2 linked regions of the Elephas maximus indicus genome follow. The protein of the gene in region 2 purifies or fractionates together with the protein of the main gene of each other region. This does not show direct contact. Links are inferred from orthologs where the notes say so. Each region holds a gene or a part of one and is shown on either strand. Other genes may lie near its edges.

Evidence for each region.
Region 1: the proteins of LMNA (region 2) and HNRNPM fractionate together in Homo sapiens (co-fractionation; 3 studies listed by BioGRID, with this or other methods). This does not show direct contact. The link is inferred for Elephas maximus indicus from reciprocal best matches to the Homo sapiens genes LMNA and HNRNPM.

The regions. Positions count from the first base shown.
Region 1 is NC_064821.1:13,147,715-13,157,703, reverse strand, and holds the start of HNRNPM (heterogeneous nuclear ribonucleoprotein M), read right to left. Parts: upstream 4,422-9,989; 5' UTR 4,376-4,421; coding exon 4,263-4,375; intron 1-4,262. Other genes in the region: E3 ubiquitin-protein ligase MARCHF2, read right to left, coding at 8,754-8,912. UniProt on the Homo sapiens protein: Pre-mRNA binding protein in vivo, binds avidly to poly(G) and poly(U) RNA homopolymers in vitro. Involved in splicing.
Region 2 is NC_064821.1:193,909,492-193,919,967, forward strand, and holds the start of LMNA (lamin), read left to right. Parts: upstream 1-6,330; 5' UTR 6,331-6,571; coding exon 6,572-6,927; intron 6,928-10,476.

The DNA.
Region 1 (9,989 bases), about 180 Mb from region 2:
TGGCTCTCAAGTGCCACTGAAAACTGGATCTGACTCTGGCATCCAACCACCCACCCAAAGTTCTAAAGAGATCCAACGTAATGAAAGCCTCTTCTAACATTCTATCAACCTCCTATTTCATAATACATTCATAAAGACCAGAAAAATATCTTTAAGTACCTTCTCAACCATTAAAATAATGTTTAAAATATGGCTTTAGAATTATGTATTACTTTTTGAAAACTGATAACTTATCATGTCACTGCCCTACCAAACTAGAATAATCCTGTACATAAAGATCTCAACTAACAAAAAAGATCAAGAGTGGCTACTCCACAAAGGACTGTTATATTCACTCTGTAAACCAGTCATCCCAACCTCTCTCTGGCTCCACTGCATTCCCATGCACACCACTCTCCTTACGTCCAGGGTTTCTCAACTCACGGAAGGGCGTAGTTTAAAATGGCGCCCTCAACACCCTGAAATTCCGATCACATCTCCTGAGGGACAAGTCTCCCCCAGGTCCCCTGAGAACCACCCTTTATGCAAACTGCTTCTTCACAGAAATCCTGTAACTCCTGAGATCCTCTAATGCACTGAAGATGTGGAGCACACTATTCATAGCGCTACCGTATTCCAGCTCCAGGCCTACCACCTAAACTATGCACTCGATTCAAGTTCTAGCTCTCTGGCTTTTCACCAGAAACACCAGGAGAACACGTATCCATGGTAGTTCGCACGGATGCTGTAAGAATCGACAAAGACTAACACAGGCAAAAAGCAACTTCGTAAATTTTAAATGCAAAAAAAGAAAGCAGTGATAAAGAAAAGCTCAGTCTTTAGGGTCACATGTCTGGGTTTGAACCCCATGTCACCATCTCTTTCCTAGGTTTCAGTTCCCTCATTTGGAAATGGAGATCAGTATCTACACTTACAGGTTTAAGGCTCTTGACTGACAAATGATATATTTTTGTACCAGTAATTTTCTTGAAGGGGGTGGGGAAAGGGACTGATTCACTCCTAGCCTTCTAACACTGCACGTCCTGATTAAGCTTTAAAACAAGCCAACAAGGGCAGTGGCTGAGGAAACCTTGGCACCTATACTCATTACAGACTACTGAAGAGACATTCAGCTTTTAACTCGATGAAAACAAAACAAGGTAACGGAAGAGCCCATCTGAGAACTCAAACAAAAAAAAAACACAAGCAACCTAATCTTCGCAGACTAGTATCTCTTTCCCTAGCCATGAATAATATCAAAGAGCCAAGTGAAAGTTAAGGACTGGTAGCACGTACTCAAATAATCCAGAGCCCCCTATTCTAATCCTGAGCTCACCATCTAATGTGCCTCAAAAAACCTTTCTATCATGTATGCAGTCACTTTGAAAAGTACAGCAAACACGACAATCCTTGTAAAGCACAGAAAATCTGGTTTAAATAAAGCCATTCAAATGACTGCTCAGTGAGTGGTCACTGTGGAAGCAGCAAGGATCTTGGAATCAAGATGGCCTCCCCTAGAGTACTGAGTCAAGCTCCTTAACCTGAGTTTTCTCAATCGCTTAAAAAATTTTTTTTTCTGGATTATAAAACAGAGTTAAGACTAATATTGCTCCCCAAGAATCTATATCGAATATATTTATTTTTAAAATAACCAATCCATCTGTTTTCTGATTCAGCCACAAAAATAACTGGGGGGGGGGGGGTAGCTTAAGTGGCAGATTTCTAATACATGGCGCAACCTTTATAAAAATCAAACATTTCTATTTCTCCAAAATGAGTGATTTTCCACTACTACATTACACCCTAACTCTGAATCTTGGCTGCCTTTAGATGGAAGAGATTTCCCACCCAAGTAGAATAATCCCTCTTCTCACACCCAGTAACTGCAAAACAAACTGTCCAACCTAGGGTCTGGTCAAGCTCGCTGGCATCACTGCCTTATGGGTCAACTGCACACTCCTGGTAGAGAGAGGTCAGCAGGCCCAAGTTTCTGCCTTCTGACTTATCTCTCAAACACTTTTGAAATAAAAACCCAAATTCCTTAGCCTGAATTCACTGCCCACAAGCTGGCCCCAGCCTTCAACACTACAACAGCTTCAGTTCTTTATAAACATACAAAGCATATACCAAAACCCCAGGTCCTCTGGACACTGTCCTCTCTGCCTCTCCCCAACCATCTTCTCTCCCCTTCCTGTTCCTGGTGGAACACTCCCACCACATCAGGTTAGGTCGGGAAGGGGGGCAGCCTGCTGTGCTCCCGACACTCCACTCACTTCCATCACTGCATATAATTACCTCACTGCAAAAACCTGAGTCCCCTCTCCGTGGGCTACTGAAGAGCTTCAAGAGCTTCACAATGCAAAAAAAGTTTTTCACAGGCTCTAGGAAAAAGATCTAAGTGTTGCTAGCTTCCTAAAGTACCCTCTATTAAGCCTGTTCTAGACTCTAAGGATCTTTCCAACAAGGGCTTGTCTTATCTCTGCCTTCAGGTTTTTAACACTCCACTTATCACATCTGTCAAGTGAAAATGTCACATAATGTCTATCCACTTGAAAATGGGAAACCCTGGTGGCGTAGTGGTTAGCTGCTATGACTGCTAACCTAAAGGTCGGCAGTTCAAATCGACGAGGCGCTCCTTGGAAAGTCTAAGGGGCAGTTGTTCTAGTGTCCTACAGGGTCGCTATGAGTCCAGATCAACTCGATGGCAACAGGTTTAGTTTTTGGTATATGAAAATGGATGGTGGAAAGTGGAAAGCTTTAAAAATGTACTTCATGTGCTATAATCTCTAATTCAACCTTTCACCTGCATGGTTCTAGCAGCCCTCCATCTTGTAGTAACTGCTTTGAAGAAGAAAAAAAAAAAAAAAAGCAATACAGGACACCTAGATGTATCTCAGAAGTCCTTCTAGGCTCCCCTAGACAGTTGGTGAAAAAAGACAAAATGACGTCCCTTTCCAGCGTTTCCAGTTTGGGGAATAATTAGAAGATAACTTTTTCTTGATTTCCGAGGACCACAACCTTTCTATTGGCTCAAAACACACTTTTACATTTATGTTGTCCCTCCCCACCTAAGTAGAGACAGGGCCTGAAATATTTTCCCATCCAACAACATAGCTGGCATTTACTACGTACTCATTAACATAAATGCTTTAACAACAGTCACTCAACTCCCAAACATCTTGTACTTGCTGAAAACTCAACTCTACGTTACTCACTTTAAAATATCTGTGGGAAATCAAAGGTGCGCCCAGCCTTTTCCTCCCCTCCCCCCGCGGCCGCTGGTTGGAGCCAAAACACTTCAGATCTTCTTTTCCAGTGCCTGTAATCCGAAAGACCGGGTTTCACCGAGCCACAAGAGGAGGCCGCCTCCTTTAACTCAATTTTCAAATTCCAAAGACCCGAGACAAGGACCCGAGACAGGGACCCGAGCAGGCCTCGAAAACATGACGGGGTCTGGAAGTGGATGAGCCAGACTAACGATGGAAAAATTTTCCCTGCAACACGGACGGAGATTGCATTTTTTTTTTTTTTAATCCCTTACTTTTTGTTTGTGTTTGTTTGTTTCTAAGGGTGACAATCGACCAGCAGGTCCGATCACTCTACGAATACCTACTGCGCACCTGGGGAGGCGGCGCGGAAGCCGAGAGGGACTTCAGGCCGGGCCAGAGCGTGGGGCGGTTCCAAGAGAGGCACTTACAGAGGGGAGGGGGAGTGGGCGACGCGGGGGGGGGAGGGGAGAGGAGAAGGAAGGGGAGAGGAGGGAGGGAGGAAAGAGCGAGCCAGCTGGGGGGGGGGACAGCCTGATCCGCCCTCGCGGCCTTTCCCGACACCCCCCCAACGCTACCGTTTACCGGGGCCGACACTGCGCGGGGCCCTGCGCGCGCACTCTCCCCCCTCCCCCACTTTACGAATCAGGAAACGGAGACCCAGGGAGAGGAGCAGGGGTTACGCCACGCGCCCAAGGTCACCGGACCGCCGAGCCGGTCTCGGACCCGGGGCTCACCGGTTCCAGGGCCCGCGCCATTATCCTCGGGGGCAGAGACGGGGCCTGAGGCCTCGACGTCAGGGTCGGTCCCGACCTGATGGGGGTTGAGGCCTGAGGAGTGGGAGACAAGCCGTGAGGCGCTCCCGAGGCCGCCTGGCTCCTCGGCCGGCCCTGCGGGAAAGGCCAAGGCCGAGGCCGCGCCGGGGGAAGACCGCCAACAGACTAACGGAGTCGCCGCCGCGAGTAGGCTGCCGGCCGCCGCGAGAGAGCCCAGGCCAAGGAATAGTGGAATACTCACCCCTTGGGGCCCGGAGCCCCGTTGCCGCTCGGCACGCCGGTCGCGCCGCTCTCCTCCTCCATTTTGGGCTCCGTCGCCGCCACCTCGGCCGCCGCTTCGACCCCTGCCGCCATTTTCTTCGCGTCTGGGCTTTGTGTGAGCGAGGCAGCTGCGCGGCGCTGCGCCTGCGCGCTCACGTGACCCGGCACGACCAGTAACGCCTGCACGCGCCGCGGCCGGCTCCCGCCTTGTCCCCTCCCGCCCCGGCCACGCCCCGGCCCCGGGCCACGCCCCCGCCGCGCGCAGGCGCACACTGGCAGCTGTTATTCATTCCCGCGACAAGCCTGCATTAGGCACCGACGGGATCGCTCAACCGTTTTCAAAGTCTGTTGAGGAAACATCGCCCATCCGGACCTAGTCCCTCCCAGCTTTCTGTAGCCAGAGCTGGGGCAAAGGGACAGCGACAGCTGTCTAGGGGTTTCTAGAAGCGTCAACCAACCAACCAATTAGTTGCCTTCAAGTCGCTCCAACTCATGGCGACCCCATGTGTGTCAGACTAGAACTGTGCTCCATAGGGTTTTCCAGGGCTAGTTTTTCAGCAGTAGATCGCCAGGCCTTTCTTCCGAGGATTCTCTGGGTGGACTCCAACCTCCAATCTTTTGGTTAGCAGCCAAGCGTGCTTAACCATTTGCAGTACCCAGGGACTTCCTGGAAAGTGTACAAAAACATAAAGGAGTTAGCCAGACACTGTGAGCAGAACGTGGGTGATCCAGGTAATAGGACTGGTGTGAAAAGCACCATCTCTCTAAGCACCTTGAATATCTGAGCTGGGTCCAACCTGTCCGCCTACCATGCTGGAAGGTTCTGGGTGCAGAGACCCTGGCCTACATCTCCCTCCCTGAACCCATCTGTCAATCAGCAGCCAAACACATAGCTGGGGACTGAGTAAGTGCTCATGGATGTTTTCATTAACCTGAACTGGGGTTCCTGCCTGGTACTGGGCTGTGCCCTGACCTGACCCTTCTCCCTTGTGGGGTCCCAACCAAGTGTCAGCTCTATTCTCAACCTTGTGTGTCCAGGGCTGTTATGGGGCTGTGTCCTGGGGCAGCCACATTGGGACTGCAGCCCAGGTGAGTATCCAGAGGCCTCAGGCTCTCTTCCCCATCCAAGTTTACCTATGGTGTCTTTGGATCTGTGAAATGCCTCACGGGGTCTGCAGAAGTTCCCATTCAACCACCATATTCTTTCTAGGCTTGCCAAGGGAAAGACTGGCTTTCTCTCTCTCATGGAATGACTACATTTCGTCAGGTTCTGGCTGAACAGCTCAACCACCACACCCTCCCAGCTGCTTAATTTAGCCTGGTCATTCTGACCCCAGTTTGGGAACTCCTAAACTAAGCCAAACTGTTGACATTGAGTAGATGCCACAGCGTCACTCCACAGGGCTTTCAAGGCTTTTTGGAGCAAATGGTTAAGTACTCGGCTGCTAACTAAAATGTTGCTAGGTTAAACCCACCCAGAAGGGCCTTGGAAGAAAGGCCTGGCAATCTGCTTCCAAAAGGTCACAGGCTGGAAAACCCTATGGAGCACAGTTCTACTCTGACACACATGTGGTCGCCATGAGTCAGAGCTGACTTGACAGCCAGCTGGTTGTTTTTACCTTTAGAAAGCAGATCACCAGGCTTTTCTTCCATGGTGCGTCTGGGTGGGTTTGATGGCTGGGTTCAAACTGTCAACACTACTAACCAAACTGTTGGCAGGGAGGGGCTTTCTTCCTCTGGGGGTGAGCTACGTATGCTGGGATTCATGCACAAAACAACAGAACAGCACTCAAAATACTCAGTGGCCACAACTCAAGGATACCCATGATCATGAAGATGGCGTAGGACCAGGCAACGTTTCGTTCTTTTGTACATGGGGTCACCATGAGTTGGAGCTGACTTGGTAGCAACTAACAACATGTTAGAACAAGTATAAGAAATCTTCGCAAGGATAAACACCAAGTGGTGGGCCCCTCTGGGGAGAGTGAGGTGGTTTGATTGGGTAGCTGGGGGCCACAACTGTATTAGTAATGTTTTGTCTTTCTTAGACATAAGTTGATTTATTTATTAAAAATAATGGTGAAATATCATTAAAGTGAAACAGGAAATAATAATAAAATTAAAAATAAAACAGAATGGGCCACAGGACAAATCACTGTGCTGGGACCCTCAGCACTGTGTGACCTTGGGCAAGTGACCCAAACTCTCTGAGCCTCAGTTTGCTTATTTGCAAATGTGGTTAACACCAGAAGCCACCTTTCAGGGCTGCTGTGAGCGTTCAATGCCACCCCATGCAAAGAGCCCTTAGTGTAAAAAACAGCATACGGAGGGCACAGAAAGCTTTCAAGGAGGAGGTAATGTGTCATGGATTGAATTGTGTCCCCCAAAAATATGTATTGTAATTCCTAACCTCTACAGGGTTGCTGGAAACCCTGGTGGTGTAGTGGTTAAGCGCTAAAGCTGCTAACCGAAAGGTCGACAGTTGGAATCCACCAAGCGCTCCTTGCGCATAGAACTCTGTGGCGCAGTTCTATTCTGTCCTTATAAGGTCACTATGAGTCGGAATCTGAGTCGGAATCGACTCAACAGCAACAGGTTTGATTCTGGGTTTTTATAGGGTCGCTGGAAGCCCTGGTGGCGTAGTGGTTAAGAGCTATGGCTGCTAATCAAAAGGCAGGTAGTTTGAATCCATCAGGCACTCCCTGGAAACCCTAAGGGACAATCAGTCCTACTCTGTCCTTATAGGGTCACTATGATTTGGAATCAACTGGAATGCAACAGGTTTGATTTTGGGTTTTGATGCCTGTGGCTATAATCCCATGGGTTGTCTTTGTTGTGTTAATGAGGTAGGATTAGCATAGGGTATGTCTTGAGTCAATCTCTTTTGAGATATAAAAGGGATTAAACAAGCAAGCAGAGATGGAGTAAGATAGATGCCAAAACGTATGGAGATCTCCAAGGAACCAGGAAGCAGAAGCTGAAGAGACAAAGGCTTTCCTCTAGAGCTGTCAGAAAGAGAAAGCCTCCCCCTAAAGCCAGTGCTCTGAATTCGAACTTCCAGCTTCCTAAATTGTGAGAAAATAAATTTGTTACAGCTATCCCGTTGTGGTATTTATGTTACAGCAGCACTAAATAACTAAGACAGGCTGTTATTAACATGACCACGTTCTGCTTCCCCTAGCGCAGCACCAGAGCGGCACAGACCTGGGGTCAATCTCCGTGTCCATGTCCTACAGCTGTGGGACTTGAGACAAAAGCTTCCCTGCTTGGGTCGCAGTCTTCTCATCTACAAAATGGGAGTAATACCTTCTTCCTCCCCTGCCCCAGGGTAGTTGTGAGTTAGAGGGATGCCGCCTGGCGATAAAGGTGGATGTGATCTTCATTAATGAGTGCAATAGGCCCAGCATGGTATCTGGCCCATAAAAAGAAAAAAAAAAAAAAAACCCACTGCCGTTGAGTCGATTCTGACTTATAGTGAACCTATAAGACAGAGTAGAACTGCCCCATAGAGTTTCCACGGAGTGCCTGGTGGATTTGAAATGCCGACCTTTTGGTTAGCAGCCATAGCACTTAACCACTATGGCACCAGGGTTTCCGTCTGGCCCATGGTAGATGCAAAAGAAGTGGAAGTACGTATTATATAACAGTGTTACCTGCTTGTCAAGGAATTCTGGTGGCACAACAGTTAAGCGCTCAGCTGCTAACCAAAAGATTGGTGGTTTGAACCCACCTAGCAGCTCCATGGGAGAAGGACCTGGTGATCTGCATCCGTAAAGATTTCAGGCGAGAAAACCCTACAGAGCAATTCTACTCTGTCACATGGGGGCTCCGTAAGTTGAAATCGACTCGACCGCACCTAACGACAACAACAACCTGCTTGTCACTTGAAAATTCAGCCTTCACCGCTGCTTCCTATGTTCTGTGATCCCTCAAACCTGCCAAGTGTATTTTTTACCTCCACATGGCTCCTGACTCCCCTTGGGCCCCGGGGCCCCTCGCTTTGAGGCCTAGTTCAGAAATATCACTGACAAAGCTGAGCAAGGGCTCCCTTTATTCACTTAGGGTGGGCTTGGGAGAAACAGTGCAACTTTATAAAGTCGAAGATGCCAGGGAAGCAAGTCTGCCGGGGCAGAAAAGCGCAAGAAGCTTGCCGGAGCTTTCCGGCCCCCTTGACACACCAGCCATGGCTGCCAGCGGGGAAAGGTGCTGAGTGGACCTCAGGATGAGATCAGGGTGCCCGCTCTGTGTGAAGCTTGGGGCCGCATCCATCTGTCCTTGTCATATATGACAGTGTGCAAAAAACTTGGAAATCTAGTCACATGTGATCCCAGAAGAAGCTCCGCTTGGCATCACTTGGCCTGTGAAGCATTCTGGCCGTGTGGGATTGGATGAGTTCGTCCGCCCTTCTGAACACAAGGGCATCCCCAGCTGCCTCTGCCCTTTCTGCTGCAGGACCCCACCAGCCGGGCTGTCACACGGGCGTCTCCTCGGCCACCTTCTTCAGGAGTCCAGCTGCGAGTGGGGAGTGCTGGTTGCTCTCGAAGCCCTCTGCATCCCGGAGCTTCAGGCGGACTTTCTGGTTGGTCCTTCTCCATTCGGAGTACAGCTGGCAATGGTAGCGGAAGGAGACCTGCAGGACAGTGAGGAAGTGGGTGATGAAGGCCGGGCTGGCTTCCACCCCCAGGTGAGTAAAATGGGGACCGTGGAGTACTGCCTTGACCCAAACCAGGCTGAGCTCACACTTCCAAAAGCAGAGGCAGCATCAGGCTCTGCAAACAGCCCTCTGCCTCTCCCCGGGCAACTCCCCACTGGCACCCAGAGTCCTACCAAGGCGAGGTGGGGTCTGCGGCAGGGGAGCAAGGGGACCCCCTCTCGGCTTCTCTTTTCATCCTCATCATTGCCCCACTGCGTTGGTGGGAGGGAAGGGAAACAGCCTCTAGGGAGGGATTCAAGGTCATGGGCCATAACGTTTAATCAAGCCAGCTCCCAAGAAACATTTGCACAGGTGCCCAAAGCACTGTTCCTAACGGCAAAAAAAAAAAATGGAAAGAATCCCAGTGTCCGTCAAAAGGGATTGGTTACGTAAATACTGTGCACCCAGACGAGGTAAGACATGGGGAGACCGATTCTTTTTTAAAGGACATCGGCTAAGTGAAAACAAACAGACTGCAAAACAATATGATTTGATACTCCGTTAAATACGTATATATAACACATATGTAAAAAAAGAATCCAAAGTGGGGGGAAATACATACACACACACACTGTATAGGTGCTGGTGGATGTATTAACAAACAATTCATGAGGAGGGGACCCCCACATAACAGTGGTTAGACTTTGGGGGGCATTGATTCTCTGAGCCAGAGTTCTAAGGCCTGCTGCAGCCAGGACAGCACCCCCCATTCGCTCTCTCTCTCGATCTCTCTCATTCCTCTGCTCTTTCTCTTTCAGTCTTTTGGGCTCTGTTTCTCTGTCTCTCTCAATCTTTCTCAATTTCTTAACATCAATCTCTCTGTCTGTTTCTCTCCTCCTCTCTCTCTCCGTGTGGGGTAAAGAATCTAGTTTTACCTTGAGGAGGGCAGCCTTTGTCCAGAGAAATAACCCTTGGAGGAACTGGGGTGCCTCACTTGGGGACTTTCAAGATTTGTGCTGACAAGTGGGGGCGGGCTAGATCAGCGAAGACTCACCTGGGAGCCTGTATCAACTA
Region 2 (10,476 bases):
AGGTGTGAGGAGTTGGTTCCATACCCATTATCCAGCTGCTCATTCCAGCAGAGCTGGAGCAAAGAAGGAAAACAGCCCCACTCTGGTTCCGCACCTGGCCTGTCCGCATCAGAGGGACATCAGTGCTGGTCCTTTGGGGTGCCTTCATACCTCAAAATCTGTCTGGGGTGCCATCTCATCTCCTGGGGTAGTGTGGGATGGGGTTGGAGCACTATTTTAGGGGGCCTGGCCCTGCCTGGTCATGTGACTTGGGGAAATTTTTCCCCTTCAGGCCTCAGAAGCCTACCTATAGAGAGAAGGGGTTATTCCTCAGAGCCCTGGGAGACTCCTGGAGGGGGATCACCAGACAGAGGTCCCCCAACCTCCCTCCTAGGGAGGCTGTACCTGTCATTTAGAATATTGGGTTTTTTTTTTTTTTTTAAATCATGAGGGCTTTTTTGAGTGAGGTTCTGTGGCCTAAAAGAATGGCTGTAAATCACTTGCTCCTTCTAAGGACTAGTTTTAGTTATCTAGTGCTAATGTAATAGAAATACCACCAGTGGATGGCTTGAACACAGAAATTTATTTCCTCACAGTTAGGAGGCTAGAAGTCCGAATTCAGGGTGCTGGCTCTAGGGGAACTCTTTCTCTCTCTGTCGGCTCTGGAGGAGGGTCCTTGTCTCTGTGAGCTTCTGCTCCTGGGAGATCTTCATGTGGCCTGGCATCTCTTTTCCCCCATCTCTGCTCTCTGGTTTAATCTCTTTTATATCTCAAAAGAGATTGACTCAAAATACACTAATCCTGCCTCATTAACAAAGACAACCTATTCTCAAATGGGATTATAACCACAAGCATAGAGGTTAGGATTTACAATACATACTTTTGGGGACTTGGGTTGGGTTAATTCAATCCATAACAGGCTTCCTCCCACCCCCAATCAGCTATGACCCTACTAGGACATGGAACCAGTTCATTCTAGCTGGAAACCCTGCTAAGAATTTGCATTTGTATCAAGCTCCTAGGCGATGCTAATGCTGCTGGCTAGGGACCAATTCTCAAAACCACTAGTAGAGCCCAGTCCAAACCAAACCCACTGCCATGGAGTCAATTCCAACTCATAGCGACCCCATAGGGTTTCCAAGACAGTAAATCTCTACAGAAGCAGACTGCCACATCTTTCTCCCAAGGATCCCTCGGTGGTTTTGAACCGCCACCCTTTTGGTTAGCAGTCAATCACTTTAACCACTGTGCCACCAATGCTCCTAGTAGAGCCGCGGTTCTCAAAATTTATTATACATAAGAATCACCTGGGGATCTTGTTAAACTGTAGATTCTGATGCAGTATATCTAGGGTGGGAATAGAAATTCTCAGCAGTGGTTCCAGTCCACACGGGACAAAGGCCACAGTCTCCTCAGCTGTGCTGTTGTTGTTGGACTCATAGGCCGACTCACAGCCCTGTGTGCAACAGAATGAAACACTTCTGGGTCCTGTGCCATCCTAACACTCAGCCGTGTTACCTCAGGCCAATCACTCAACCTCTTTGAGTTTTGGGTTCTTGGCATATAAAATGCAGATGATAATACCTACCTCATAAAGTTGAGGTGAAAATTAAATGGGATCACCTCCACACAGTCCTTAGCCTGGTGCCTAGCACAAGGTAGTGGCTTCTTTAGAACAGGCAAGTTCTTCCATGCTCAAGGTTATAACTATCACCTGTGCCTGAGTGACTCGGCTGTTCAATAGCTGTTTAGTGCCAGACCCTGTGTTCAAAGGATGAATAAGTTAAGAACCCTCCCTCAAGAAACGCTAAAGGAATTGCTAAGCCATGGCCTTGGGTCTCTAAATCACCCCCACTCTCCAGAACCTCCTCCAAAGAGTCACCCCTTCCCACCCCCATGGAGGAGTAGAACTGCCTCCCCAATGGCTTAGGATCCCGTCTGAATGCTCCTCTCTCCCACTCCCACCTGTCCAGTATTACAGCCTGACAATTCCAGTTCTGCTACTATCCATATGACCTTAGGCCAGTGGTTCTCAACCAGGGGCCATTTTATCTCCCCTCCCTAGGGACATTTGTCAATGTCTGAAGACATTTTTGATTGTCATAACTGGGGGCGGAGTCACTTAGTGGCATTTAATGGGTAGAGAGGCCAGGGATGCTGCTAAACACCCTGCAATGCACCGAACAGCTCAGCTCAACAAAGAATTATTTGGTCCTTTTTTTTTTTTAAATGTCAGTGGTGCCAAGGTTGGGAAATCCTGCCTTAAATGATTTCAGTTTTCTCATCTGTAAAATGGGGATAATAGTAGTATCCATTTGCTAGAGTTATTATGTAAATTCAGAAGATTATGCAAACACCCAGTGCCTACCAACAGTCCATAAATATTCCCTAGAATAATTGTTATTAGGATTCCTCTGAAACCTTCCTGGTTTCATCCCCCTGTTGAGACTCAGCCCAGTTTAGCTTGTCTTGCCAATACCAATGCCTCTGACTCTTTCCTTACTGGTCTTGATGCCTCCCTTCTCCTTTTGACCCCAAGCCCTACCACGCAGCTAGAATTTTCTGGCTCAGAGCCCATCCCAGTACCAGAGCTCTTCTCAGCTCCCTGCCTCCACCTCCCACTTCTCTTCCCGTAGTCTCCGACCTCACCTCCCTGCTCTTGCCAACTTCAGCAACTCTACACAGACTTCCTCCCAGCACCAGTCCACACCGCGCATCTCTCATGCTGCCAGCCAAAGTGGCCTAAGATAGTGAAGCACACCCTAGATTTGGACCAGGCTATCCGGTTTCTAGTCCAAGCTCTGAGCTCTGGCTATTACTTACTGTCTAGTCTTGGGAAAGCAAGCCTCACCTTTAAAACAGGGAAGTAACCTCCAGCCCATGAAGGGGTTTTGTGGACCAAGTTAGAGAATGTATTTGAAAATGTACAACTATAAACGGCATAAAAGTATGATTCGCTGTTTGAGAGCATTGCCCTGCTTTATATTTTTATTTCCATAGCACTTAACCACCTTCTAACAAACTGTAAATTTGTATCTTTTGTTTATGGGCTCCACTAGAATATCAGCTCCATGAGGCAGGGATATTGGTCTGTTTTATTCACTGCTGTTTCCCCAGTGTCTAGAACAGTGCCTGGCATGTAGTAAGTGTTCAATAAGTGTTTGTTAAATGACTGAATTCACTGTGTATACAGCACCTCTGTAGAGTCCCTAGATCTCTCTTTTCCAAGAAGCCTTCCTTTAAATGCATTTTACCTTATTTAATCATTACAACACTCCCATTTTACAGATGAGGAAACTGAGGCTGAAAGAAGTGAGTCTTGCTTAGAATCACTCTTCCTGAAAAGTAGCAGGGCCAGATGCATTTGTTCATCCAAGAATCACTGAGCATCTGTTGTGTGCCGGGCACTGGCCAGATGTTGGGGTCACAGATGACCAAGACTTGGGCCTTTCTGTCCCTCAAAGAGCTCATCTTTGAAGGGGGGGATGTAGAGGGAGGCCCAGAATGCTATAGGAGCACAAAAGAAAGGCCTCCACCAAGATCATTGGCCTCTAAGACAGGTGCCCCTTCCCTCCCCAAGCCATCCCCTGGTCTTCACCCACCATATCCTGAGATCACTCATTAACTCTCCAGGCCCCAGCCTCCTGGGGTTCATTTAGAATTTATTATCCAATTCAGTGCCCTATGCTACTCTTTGTGCTTGTTGGTTTTGCCTCTCCCTGTCTTTTTTTTTTTTTTTTTCAGTCTACCCTACCCGTGGGCAGCTTCCTCGAGGGCCAGTGTAGCATCGCTGTACCCTGTCCACCCTCTGCACACTGAGGAGCTCTGTCCTCATGTGTCTAGTAGACTTTCTGGCCATGTTACACATGAGCAACCAAGGCCCAGAGAATTCAGTAGCTGGTCTGGCATCACGCAGCAAGAGAGAGGTAGGTTTGGAACCTGGTTGCCACCCAGGAACAATTCCCCTCCACCCTCACCCCAGCAGACCCAGCCCTGTGGGACCTGATCTCTTCTGCTCTCCTGGGAAAGCAAACAGATAGCATTTGGGGGGCCAGGGTTAGGATGAAATGTTCAGGAACAAAGGCCCACTTTGAAGTTCAAATTAGGAATTGATGCCATTGTGGTGGGAGGGAAGGCCTTTTGGAAAGAGCCCAGAGTGAAATTTGGGGTGAAAGCCCTGTTCCTTTCTCCTGCCCCTTCTCCCCAAAGATGAGGTGGTCCAGGATAGGAAGAGTTAAGTGTGGTTTTGCCTTCCCAGCCAAGAGGGGAAGCCAGGCCACTGGGTGGGGCGGAGGGGGGGCTCGGTGCCAGGGAGGGGCTGAGGCAGCGGGAACAGCACGAGCCGTCCCCTCACGTTTCTCTGGCTCAGCCACCCTGCCTCTGCTCTTGGTTTGGGGAACAGGAGAGGGAGAAGCAGAACAAGGCTTTTTGTTTTGTCTGGGAAGCTGAGGGTGGGGTGCTGCACCCTGGGGGAGAGGGCTGCAGGGAGGGGAGTCATGTCCTGAGTCCCAGAGGTGGGTGCTTACCCCACTGGCCAGTCACCCTCACAGAGATGGGGACCTAGGCACCCCCTCCCATCAGTCCCTCCCTGAACAGAGTCCCTGCCTTAATCCCACTACTGCCCCTTGTGCACTTTGAAGCCTGGCTCCAGAACCCAGAACTGAGGAGCTGCCCAGCCCTGCTTCCCCTGTCTATTACAGAAATCCTGCTATCTGGGAGCTGTAGGAGTTAGCAACATAATTTAATTTCCTGGGTTCCTCATCAGAGAATAAACTGTGAGAGGCATCAGGCGGGTCAGGCAGGCAGATGGGTCCTCGAGCCTCAGCACTGACACCTCTTAGAGTGGATTAGGTGGCTGGTGGGGTCAGGGCCAGGATTAGGGGGGGGAGCAGGAGGCTGGTCAGAGGGTCCTTGGTGAGGCCCAAGGCTCCAAGGCCAGGAAGTCTGGGGTCCTGGGTGCTCCTGTCATGTAAGAGTCCTGGTTCCCTCCCCAGAGCCAGCTGCAAATCAAACCTGGCCAAGAGGAGTGTAGTGAGGGAGTGCTGGCCTTTGTAGCCAGTGAGGCTGTGGGTTCTTGGCTATCCCTAACCCCCTCCTTTCTGGCTGGAACTGGGATGAAGACCCAACATTGGCTGCCCACGCCCTGGCCCTGCTCCCCCTTTTAGGCCCCTCTGGGAACCACAAAAATCTGGGACCTGGTGTCCTGGCAACATGATGAGCGCACGCACAGCTCTGGTATCTGTTTTAAATTATCCATTAAAATAAGTACAGTTCTGGAAAAAAATAAGTACAGTCCTGGAGTTGGCTGGGTGGGGTGAGGAGCAGAAAGGGACTGAAAGGGGGAGAAACCTAGGCATCCTATTTTCCAACTGCTTGGGACCAAAGGAAGGGGGCAGGAGATGGGGGGTGCAGATGCCTGGGTCCTATTCTTGGCCTTCTCTGGGAAACTGGGCTTGGGTGTAAGACCCAACACTTGGTTTCGAAGGGAATAAATTCAGACAGAAGATAGGAGAAAACCCAAAAAACCCATTGCTGTCCAGTCGATTCTGATTCATAGCGACCCTATACGACAGAGTAGAACTGCCCCATAGGGTTTCCAAGGCTGTAATCTTTATGAAAGCAGACTGCCACATCTTTCTCCCAGAGCCGCTGGTAGGTTCGAACTACCAACCTTTCCGTTAGCAATGGAGCTCTTGTGCCATCAGAGCTCCTTGAAGATGGGGTAAAGGGACCCCCAATTCCTGATTCTACCCCAAGACTGAGGGGGTAAAGGAACTCAGGACCCAGAACTTCGCTGTCCCCCGGGGGAACCCCGGCATTCTTTCTCCACCCCACCCCTGGCATGCCGAGATGCAGCTTTGAATGGGCTGCCCACGTGCGGAGGGGGAGTAGGGGTGACTCACTGTTACTACGGGGAGGGAAGGGGGGGAGAGGGAAGGGGGAGCCTGTGGTGGAAGCAGGGTGAGTCACCCTGCTAGCCACCAGCCTCCTCCCTCCCCCCACTTTCCTGTAGCCCAGCCTGCCCGCCTGGACCCCTCCCTTTGCTTTACAACTGGTTCCCCCTTCCCCCTGCCCTTTGCCCACCCACTCTCATCCCTTGGCTCTGCCCTCTACCCCAGAAGGCAGAGGGAGTCGGGGAAAGCTTGGAGCTAGGAGGACTGAGTAGGCAGGAACCAAGACGCAGGAGCTTCAGCGAAGTCCTAGGCAGAAGGCAGTGCGCGGGAGAGGGTGGGGCCCGTCTCCGCCCCCGTCCCCCAGGTCCTCTCAGCTCTTCGCCGATCCCACCCGGCCCCTGTGGGTATGTGACGGCCCCTTTAAGAACAGTGGCCACTCCTCCTTTTCCATAGACCTATTAGAGCCTTTGCCCCGGCGTCAGTGACTCAGAGAGTTCGCGGGAGCACTGCATCTGCACTAGCCAACCCGGATCCCGAAGTCCGACAGCGCCCGGCCCAGATCACCACGCCTGCCAGGAGCAAGCCCAGAGCCAACCGGCCGGCGCGCTCCGACCCCGAGCAGTCTCTGTCCTTCAGCCCGAGCCCCGCGCCCTTCTCGGGACCCCTGCCCCTAGGGCAGCGCTGCCATCCTGCCGGCCATGGAGACTCCGTCCCAACGGCGCGCCACCCGCAGTGGGGCGCAGGCCAGCTCCACCCCGCTGTCGCCCACTCGCATTACCCGGCTGCAGGAGAAGGAAGACCTTCAGGAGCTCAATGATCGCCTGGCGGTATACATCGACCGTGTGCGCTCACTGGAGACGGAGAACGCAGGGCTGCGCCTTCGCATCACCGAGTCCGAGGAGGTGGTCAGCCGCGAGGTGTCCGGCATCAAGGCCGCCTATGAGGCCGAGCTTGGAGATGCCCGCAAGACCCTCGACTCGGTGGCCAAGGAGCGCGCCCGCCTGCAGCTGGAGCTGAGCAAAGTGCGAGAGGAGTTTAAGGAGCTCAAAGCGCGGTGAGTGCGCCCAGGTGGCAGCTTGCCGGGCCCGGAGCAGAGAGGGCAGGCGGAGCGGCGCCCTTGCCGGGCTACAGGAAGGGAGCGAGAGTGCTTTGGGAGGCTGATAAGTTTGCCATATAGTCTCCTCCCTCCCCGGAACTGCCCCAGGCGAGGGACTGGCGGTGCCAAGGAGAATAGTTGTCATAGGACAGAGAGGGAAGGGGTCTCTGGGAGAGGGTGGGAAATACAAGGAACAGTGGGAGCATCCGGGCCAAATAGGGGCTCGTGGCAGGCGGCATTCCGTTAGGGTGGGGTTTGCCTGCCATTTGGAGCCTGGGGGAGAAGCTTGGTCAAAGCAGAACTGGCCCTGCTAGGTATGAAAAATCTAGGCACCCAGGGCACACTGGAGTGGGTGAGAGGGCCCTATTAGAACTTTCTTGGCAGCCTTGGCACTATGCCAGATTTGGGCAAGCTGGCTCTGAGCACGTGATGCACACTAAGACAGAACTCCCAGGCTGGCAGATGTCCAGTGGTGCTGGAGAGAGGTCACAAGGCAGGGTGACCCCCTTCTTCCCCTCCAGGGGCGTGGCAGTGGCCTCCTTGGCATGACCCTTTCCTGAATTCTTGCTAAGAGTCAGAAGCTCTTTCTTACTCCCTACATGCCTGAGACCTTTCCTGAGCTCTGACAGGCCCACCAAAGGGCTCCAGGAGTGCAGCTCCCCCGCAGCTCCCACAGCCCTTGGCCTGCTTGGCCCAGGAATGCAAGGGAGGGAGGGAGACCGAGGGCAGAGGCTCCAGGCTCAGGAAGTTGTGTTATGCCCAGGTCTGGTGGCACCCCCCCCACCTTGGTCGTCTTGCCTGGTGTCTGCAGAGGGTCAGGCCTCTATCCCTCCCTCTCCCTCCCTGTCTGAGTGAGCCACTTTCATTTTCCCAGCCAAGCCCGAGCAGTCTTTGCTCTTGGTCTGGCCCATCCTCTCAGCCGCTGACGTTTTTGATCTTTGCCTTATTAAACTGCTGGAATACAGTGACATTTTTGAAATCCAGCCGTTGGAAGCTTCAGGCCACTCCCACCTCACCCAGTCCTGCCCCACCCTACCACACCCTACTCCACTCTACCCTTTGGAAGCCTGGAAGTTTAGGCCCTCTTCTTCCAGCCCCCCAAGAATTTGGTTTCCTTCTCCCTGCTCCCCTTTCCTCTATGAAGACCCAGGCCTAGAGATCCCAGGAGGGCCTGTGGGTTTTGACCTCCCCTCTCCCTCCGCATCATTTTCTCCAAACTCCTGCTCCTTCCAGATCCCCTCTATGTATTCTATGGTTGTTCTACCCCTTCACCACCCCTGACCCTTCACTACACTCTGCTCAGAGGTATAGTGGGTGTGACCAGATCCTATCACCCTTCTAATGAGTGGAAGGAAGTTCCTTGGGGAGACATGGGTTCAACCTGTTGAAAGAGATCACTCCTATCTTTTTTCCCTACTAATATGAACAACTTAGCAGGACAAACTGGAGGCAAACAAGGTGTGTCCCTACCCGCACTGGACTGGTTGGAAGAATTAAGAGAATTAGTGCTCTAAACTAGTCCACTCAACTGCCTAGGCAGCCCCTTGCCTTCCAGATTCTTATGAAGGACATCTTTAGCAGATGTTTTTCTTGAGAAGACATTGATCTGGCCCACAGGATGAGCAGCGTCTATAGTCTCTTGCTAACTCAGCCACACCGGTCTGTCTCTTTTGCCTTCTGGTGCAGCTGTCCAGGCTTGGGACACCAGGCGGGTGTGTGTGCACGTGGGGCAGAGGCGGGGGTGGTGTGTGTACTTGTTATATTTAGCCACCTGCCTCTCTTCTCCCCCACTGATCCTGACTGGGCTTCCGGGAAAGGGGGGCGGGTGGTGCACACCTGGATCCCAGGCTGATGGGAAGTAGGGGTGAAGGGACGAAGGGGGCTTGGACTGGAGTGCCTGTCCCCTTTTATGTCTCCAGTAGGAGGAGCCAGGATTTGGTCCTCCCTTTTGCGCCTGCTGTCCTCAGGGTGGGGTGGAGAAGTGGGTAGAATGAAGAGTTTGGGAGAGGAAGAAAGGTATTGCCTCAATCCCTCCCACTGAAGCTTGGAGAGAAGGTGTTGTCTGGTTTAATGTTTAATTAGAGCTCAGAGTTCAGGGTCAGGCTTGGAGTTGGGATGCAGAGCTGCCTGTAAGACCCTGTAGCAATCCCTGGCCCAGGCTGGGTACCTTGACCACACCCAGGAGTTTGGGGCTTCCTTTTGCTGGGCTAGGTTATAAGCTTCCCGCAGAAGGCCCTCCTTCCCTCCCCCCACCCACCCAACCACACACACACACTCTTTTTACCCTGGAGCCTGAAAGATTTGGATACCCAAGTGCAGGGAGAATGGGAAGGTTGAGAGTGATAGGGAAGGCCCGTCTGGGGGTCCAGGCTGGGAGCTGGGCCCCACCCCAGGTAGGACAGCTGAGTGGATGACTCAGATGCTGCCTCCTCCTTCCTACCCTGGTGGCTTTTCAAGAGACAGGGTGGACATAGCAGATGTCTTAAAGGAGGGGATGGAGATCTGAATGTGTTAGTGTTCTATGCCCCTTCCTACTGCATCTTGGGGTCCTTTTCCTCTGGTGATGTTCTAGAATCAGGGTTCTGGACAGGCAATATGCACAAGTGGTTCTAGAGTTGAGTCCAGAGTTATGGGCTTGGGCTGTAGGGGTTGCTGGGGTTGCCAGGGTCTGTGCCTTCCCATACGGAACTGACCAAGGAAGCCTGAGTCACAAGTAGGGTGATCCCAAGCCCACAAAGCAGAAGTACCTCTTCCCCCCGGACAGGGCTCTGGTGCTTGATGACTTCCTGGATTGTCCACCTTATGCAGCCTCACTGAGAGGTGCAGGCTCTGATAGGACAAGGATAGCAAAGGCCACAGAGGTTTGTCCCATATCACACACAGCAAGTGGATAACAGGCCAGGACTTGAGCCCAGGCCTTCTGACTCCCAGCCAAGTACTCTTACCATTAAACCTCACTTCTCTAGCTTAAGGGATAGGTCAAAGGGCTCTGAGGGTGGGGGCTAGAGGCCCAGCCCCTGGGTTCTGAGCTTCACTCCTGAGGCCTGGAGTTTCTGCTCTGGGACCTGTGATGCCTCGATGCTCTGCTCTCCTGCCAGGGCCTGTTAGCACTTGATCAACAGCCCTTGCCCCAGCCTGTACCTGGAAAGACCTGTGTCCCTGCCAGATCATGCATGGTGAGATCGAGCTCTGGGAGGCTACAGGAGGCTGGGGATTCCTGTCTTGAGATTGTCTTGAGACTCGTCATGAGCATTGTCTACCCAGAACAGAAGGAGATTATACACTTTGGCAGAGACATTAGGAGAATGGGGTAGGGGCCTTTGGGTAGCCCTGGGCCCCAGCCCTCATCTGAGGGTACCTCTTGGTTTTACCTTTCCCATCTCCCTGCCCTGAAGTCCATGTTTTGATCTAAGGGAAAGAAGAAGGTACAACTAAACCTGGGGACCGAGAAGTACTTAAGGAGCCCGGGAGAAACAAAAGAAAGAAAAATTTCTCAGTAGGGTCCTG